Tribolium castaneum: one gene and its partner. The protein of the gene in region 2 binds, or shares a complex with, the protein of the main gene of each other region. Links are inferred from orthologs where the notes say so. Each region holds a gene or a part of one and is shown on either strand. Other genes may lie near its edges.

The links.
Region 1: btz (region 2) and tsu share a complex: the UniProt entries of both Homo sapiens proteins name them as parts of the mRNA splicing-dependent exon junction complex. The link is inferred for Tribolium castaneum from reciprocal best matches to the Homo sapiens genes CASC3 and RBM8A.

Annotation. Positions count from the first base shown.
Region 1 is NC_087399.1:11,508,550-11,511,267, reverse strand, and holds tsu (RNA-binding protein 8A), read right to left. Parts: upstream 1,407-2,718; 5' UTR 1,292-1,406; coding exon 1,231-1,291; intron 1,181-1,230; coding exon 1,037-1,180; intron 983-1,036; coding exon 721-982; intron 668-720; coding exon 640-667; 3' UTR 511-639; downstream 1-510.
Region 2 is NC_087396.1:15,135,850-15,140,102, reverse strand, and holds the start of btz (protein CASC3), read right to left. Parts: upstream 2,806-4,253; 5' UTR 2,727-2,805; coding exon 2,667-2,726; intron 2,513-2,666; coding exon 2,223-2,512; intron 2,171-2,222; coding exon 1,967-2,170; intron 1,909-1,966; coding exon 1,235-1,908; intron 1-1,234. Other genes in the region: uncharacterized protein Arl6, read left to right, coding at 4,226-4,253. UniProt on the Homo sapiens protein: Required for pre-mRNA splicing as component of the spliceosome. Core component of the splicing-dependent multiprotein exon junction complex (EJC) deposited at splice junctions on mRNAs.

The DNA of each region.
Region 1 (2,718 bases), on a different chromosome or scaffold from region 2:
ACTATAAAAACGCCAACGTCGCATTTTACCAAATTATTTTTTTTAATGAAATTATAAAATAGTTATTAATACTTAGATCTCATTGAAAATATAAATTACATTAGCTGTTATTTTTTTTAAGTCCACGAATAAGTTATAACAGCTAATTTTAAGGGAAAATGCAACGTTGATGTTTTTATAGTATTGAAACAACTACTCCACTATTGATTGTGACATTGACAATTCTACAATTCACAGAAACAGAGTACACATTGTTTTTTGTTATTAGCACAGTTATTAGTGTTTTTTTTACAATAAATGACTGTTTATTTTTATATGTTTCTGATACCGATCCTTATTTAAACTTGAGTTGGATTAATGGTGATAATTGATAATCACCGTTTTAATCCAAGTTAAAACAATTTTAAAATCTATTGTAACCATAACTTTAAATGATCACATTGTACTTTTTACCAAGTCTTTTGAGAATACTTGCTTGTCCCAAACTATAGAAAAAATACACTTCACACGTAAAAAACTCACAATTTATTACTTCTTGAATGTCATAAATAAAATACACCAAAGAACCTTACTTTTGTAATCTTAAGAAATTAATGGATATAAGTGGAAAATTGAGTTATAAATAATTTACAGTTACAATCAGTGTCTCCTTGCACGTTTCTTTGACCTGAAAAGAAATCAAATCACTAAGATTTAACCATTCAAAACCAAGAAACTTACTTTTTGGGCCCCTTAACAAAACACCAGTCAACTCCAACTGTTTGCCCTAACAACAAAGACCCATTCAAAGCCTCCCTGGCCGCAAACGCTTCCTCGTACGTCCCATATTCAATCAAAGCATATCCCTTCAAAAAACCCGTCCGACGATCCAAGTTGATACTTATATTTTTGATAGCCCCAAACTCGGAAAACTTCTCACTCAAATCATCCTCACTGGCCTCTTCATGCACCGAAGTCACAAACAAAATCCACCCCTCCACAGCTAGAACGCAAAATAACTGTTTACAACACTAAAACTGTTTAAAATGCAAATTACATTTCTGTGGCCCAGGCTCGTCTCCGTGATCCCCGGAATCTATGCTTTCATATCCTCGAATTTTCTCATGTTCCTTGGTCTCTCCAGGCCCAAAGCCGCGACCTTTCCGCTTTACAACTTTATCTTTCAGGCGCAAAACGCTCTCTGGAAATGTGAGGTTAGGAAAAGGAGAGGTTATGTTACGGCTTGCCTACGGTCTCCTTCGTCTTCCACGTCCAATTCGACGGAATCGTTGATGTCCAAAACATCTGCCATTGTAACAACGACACTACACACGTTTTTTTTATTAAAAAAGACCGATTTTTAGCATAAATTTGGGATGCTTCTTTGACGTTTGAAGTCGCGGTAGCGTTGCCAACCGTGCCACTTGTAACACCATAATTCTCCAGATTTAAAAACACGGAATAAAATAAATAAAATAAAAAATACATTTATTTTTATTGCACAAAACACTAATAACATCTAATAATAATAACACACAACATTTCCCTTGCGTCTTTTCAAAATTCTATAATTTCGTTTAACATTCTTTCAAATTATTTATTCCTCAGCATGGATTCAGTACTCGTCCCTAGACTTTTCTTAACATTCTTGTCATATTCTTTTCTAAAACCATATTTAGATCCCGAAAATGTTTCATAATACATTTCTATTTAGCTGTTTCAAAACTATATAAACGCTAACGTGGCGTTTCTTACTTCATTTCCAAATGTTTTTTTAATATTCTTTGTATTTATATTAGCTGTTTCAAGACTATACAAACGCCAAGGTTGATGAAATTGTAAAACAGTTATTAATGTTTAGATCTTTCATTGAAAGTACCATGCGATGTTTTAAAATTTTGATCTAGTAATCCACAACAGTTAAGTTAACCCAATGTCCTTTAGGGAAATAAGAATCCAGCATAATTTTTTATGTTCTTCGGTGAATATTTTAGATATATTGACAGATAAAGCGATGCTGAAGTTATTTACGTAATATATTTCACTGTTGAGGTAACTGTCAAGGATACCTAGATCAAAATTTTAAAAATTCGCTTGTTATAACTTTCATTATTTTTTTTTAGGTGCATCAAAAATTCATAACAGCATTAACAGCTAATTTTGAGACAAAATGTGACGTTGGCGTTTTTGTAGTTTAAAAAACAGCTAATAGACTGAATTCAAAATTCTTTGAAATCACTTTTTTAATACATCCTAAAAATTTTATTTTTGATTTTACTCTGCGACTTTTCAAAATCCTTCGTTTAGATCTTCCAAAATTATGCTTTGATTTTGTGTCACTATTTTTTTAACATTCTTCTCTCATTGTTCTAAACCATCTGTAAATATGAAATAGGAAATAAACTTATTTTATAAATTCATCGTATGGACTTTGATTTAGAAATGCTTTGTTCATCAAAATTCTTTTATAAACGCTTTCTACATTTTCTAAATTCTCCTTTAGATTCCACTTTCTGTCCCTTTCTACAGTTTTATTTAGTATTTTTTTATTATTTTTTTAGTATTCTTTTGTACCAATTCTTTTCTAGATTGCTCTTTTTTCAAAATATTTCTAAAAATGTTTTTCAAATTATTTTAGTCGTCTCTAGATTTAAAATCCAGTCTCTTCTTTGGATTATTTTTTTATAACCCCATCTTTACATTTTTTTTAAATTATTATTCTTTAAATTATTCTTTAGA
Region 2 (4,253 bases):
CTTTTAAATTTGACGGATGACATTTCGAAAATGATTTGAGAAAATCCAACAAATAAGACGAAAAATCTGTGGAAACTGTTTTGGGTAATTGAAAAATGCTAAAGGGGGTCATAAGGCACATAAAACACGTAATATCAATGTAGTGTTTTTCAGACTGTGCTGCTGATTTATGCAAAAGTGTTAAGAGCTCCCACACTGACTGCGTATGGTGACTGCACTCATAATTTCTAAATTAATCACACGTAAAAGTGGTAAGTGCTCATTTGTTCAACCAAAAAATGTTGGCGCGGTCCAGAAGTACCTATCAAAAAATGTTTCCTGTAAGTACCGTCGCGAGCAAAAAATCAAAGATCTTCAACATTTCATCTTCATAAACCTTCGTGTTAAAAACATTCGTCTCATTAAGCCTAAACCACATCGTTTTTTTTAATGCCGTTAATTAAGTGCCCGAAATTTTTTGTTCACTATACTGTACTGTAACACTTTCAAACTACCTATATCCTGTCTCTAGTTTTACAGTTGGGAAAAATTGATGTTAATTAAGGGCCAGGGGGCGCTTAGTAGGTACAGCGTGGCCTCAAACCACTGAGGGGTCTAATGATAATCCAAAAATGTTTTAGTCAGAGTTAAACTAATCAATTATAATATTTACTAGTTTAGATCCGAATTAAGGTCGTCCTGGACCCATCTACTTACCAGATGAAAATTATTTTTTATCAAATGTAATGTCCAAAGGAATATATTGCGAATTGGTTGCCTAAGAAAATATATTCAAGACTATAATTAAGAGGGCAAAAAAGGATTACATTTTAGCTATTTTCCGCAATGATTTACAGCCGTGTTAAGAAGCATTTTTGATATTATTTTACAGGGTACATTCTTTCACTCAGACTCTAGGGGAGAAAGTCTTTTAAAATGCGTTCACTGCTTTACTTAATTCAGAAAAAAATTCTGAAAACTAAAAAATCTCATCAAAATCTAATACTCAGAAAAAAATTTCCCATCAACAATAATAATCATTCTTTATTACTTAAAATCTACTTCATGGCCAAAAATATTTTCTTTTTCTTTTAACACTTACTGTTGTACTTTGTGTTTGTGTAAAAAAAAATCAAAAACCAAACAAAATCGACCAGTAACATTTAGCGCAAAATCATAACCATAACATAAATTATTTGTATTGTGCGTATACTTGAAAATAAATTTAAGTGATGATGTTATAATTTGAACCTACCATTTGAGTAGTAATTCGAGTGCTGCGAGAACGGCGGCGTTGCCGACTCTGGAAGCGACCTCTGTCTGATGGAACTGTACCGTTTGGAGCCCTTTTGTTCCGATTGGAGTCTTGGTGGGACGCTGCCTTGTCTCTGTCCCCCGTGTTTACCCCCTTTATGCACCCCATCCTGAACGTTCAATTTTGATAAATCCTTTTCTAGCTCTTGTATGTTGTTATTTTTATTTGTAAAATTTTGCGACTGGATAAAATCGTCTTTTTTCGAGGATTTCGGGACGACTTTTTGATCAGTTTTCATATTCCTAACTTGACGTGTTTTTGTAGTAAAACCCCTATAATCTGAATCCTTGATTTCGCGTTTTGGTTTAACCACACGGCCAGAACCGACGCGTTGCTGCATCCTGTTGGATTCTTGTGGTGGGACTGGCGGAGACTGCGGAGACTCGCATACTGAATTTTTCGTGTTACCGTTTGTTTCAGCTTGGTACTGGTCTGTTTTCTCTTCGTAATCTCTGCTATCCTGCGGGTCTTCTTGATTACTTGAGCGGTTTAGAGGCGGAAAGTCTTCGCCTTGATTGGGCTTTCTGAGGGGTTTCTTTTTACGAATAAGAGGTGGCGGTTTGTTGTAGGCATCTTCGTCTTCCCAGTTTCTTGTATACTTGTTAGGGCCACGTCTTTGGAAATGCATGCGCAACAAATTAAACCGATTTTTAACACAGTGAGGGAACTCACCCGTATCGTCTGCGCCTTCGAGCTCGAGGGGGACCTTCCTCGTTCCTAATATCGTACCCATAGATGGCCACAAGTTCAGCCCTGGACTTGGGGGCTTGCTCAGAGTCGTTAAAACGATCATGACTCCACCTTTCCTTCTTATCCTGCCATACTTTTTTCTTCTGTTCTTTTTCCTTCTCCAATTCTACATTATCAGCTGTTTGCCTAAACAATTAATCAGTCACACTACATGAACTGTGTAATTATTCGCACTCACTCGTCATCAGCTGTCCGGTCATCGTGTTCGTAAAAAGTGCCCCTTTTGGGTATGTACTGGGGGTTTTTCTTGTCCTCATCATCGTCCACCTTCCTGAGAGGCAAACTCTCCTGTCCGTCGCCAGATTCCCGCTCCAGCCCTACACTGCCTTCAGTTTCCGAATCAGTGTGCTCCCTGGAATTCCTCGACCTCGCTTTATCCTCCTCTTCATCACTGTAACTCCCTGCACTGTCATACTCCGACTCGTTAGGGGACTTGTGGCTCTCCTCAGCGTCAATTCGTGTCTTTTCCTGCAAAATCATTCTTAAACTGAGAAGAATTCACGCGAGATCGCCTCGGTTGTGCTCCACTTCGTTCTGAACTTGTGACCTGGTTTGTTAATTTTTTCTCAAATCTTTCTCTTTTCCGGAACGAAGGAGCAACGTAAGGAGCAATTGGGCTCACCTGTGATATGTTTTCCACCGTTTGGGGGGCTGTCGCTGGCACAGCAACGGTTTCTTCCATCTTTTTGTTGTTTTACAAATATCTTTATCTTGGCCGGATTGGCAAGATTCGATGGCCAGTGACAAATTCAAGACTTACGTCTCGTTTCTGGTCCTTTTCATGCTCAATGGAACGACGTGAAAGGAAAAGAAACAGAGAGAAACAAGTTGGTGCCAACTAGCAACTCCTTGTCACAAGGTTTCAGAGGTTAGGTTAAGCACAGAAGCACCAACTTTTGGTGGCAACTGAATAACTAGTTGCCTATACTTTTATAAGTAAAATTTAAATAAAAACGCCCTTGTTGATAAAATTGTCCAAAAGGCCGCAAACTAATATAAGCAGTCGATTGAAACGTCATCTATAGTTTTTTAGTTAAAATTTTTTTTATACAATTTGAGTTATATTAGTTGCATAGATCGCACCAGAGACAACTTGTGAAATTAAAAAAAATAAATTAAAATTCAAAAATTTTGACATAATTTAGCGTTAATCATGGTAAAACTTTATAGAAAATGTTCCAATAACCCACTTAACTGTTGTAGAAAAGCTCATTTCAAACTGTTCTTCACCTTATTTTGATGGTAGCAGTCCCATTCTTCGTGGTAATGGTCGCGCTTTACTTAGCGTTTGCCTTTGGGGCCTTTGGGCCTGCCTCGGAAAGATGTGACGCTCTATGCTGTTATTTAGCAAATAAAACTCTAAATATTTACGACAAACGCGATCGCGAATACATAGAATATGAATTTGAACTTGATGCCCTTAACAAAAGATCTATTAGTTCTCTTAGCCAAACCTTCACTCTTGCAAAGTGTAAGGAATCAGAGAATCCAGCAATTGCCGCTCTTCTCGGAAAGCGATATATTGATGCAAAAGAAGGATTTTTCAAATGTGCTGTTGGTGTTATTGCGCGAAACTGGGCCCTAGCTGTTGATGACTGTGTTGAAAATTTGGGCGTTCTGAGATTAGGGTCGTCATGGTGGTCTTTCGGGGGAGTGACAAAAAGGGTCAATAATGTCATTTTTTCTAATTTTGGTTTGGTTTTGCTACATTTTAATGCAACTGACGATAAGGCATTTGAAATTGCGAAACTTGATCGATTTGTACAGAGCTTTACTTGGGATAGGAGAGTGGATCTCCCGTTGGCACAAAGGCAAAAATTCAACAAATTGCTCAGTTTTGATGTTCGTGTTTATCAACACGAGGACTGTACGGGTTTCATCAAACAGAAGCATGTTTCTTGTTACATTTCAAGCAGGAACGAGTTTTGTGGAAAAAGGGTTAATGCTCCAATGATCGACCAAAGTAACAACTTGGTGGGAATGCATTTGGAGACTTTTTGCCCAAAAAATGAAAGTTATGCGATTGTTTTTTACATTGATGTTTATTCTTACAAAACCTGGATTTTGGACATGGTTAATAAATTTTGAACACACAAATTTCGTTTTTTTTAATCACCTAGTGACCGTTTCTTGAGTGACCACAAGTGCGTACCAAGTGACAAGCAAGTCAAATTTCGTAGAATGTTTTTGATACCACAAGACCCAAAAG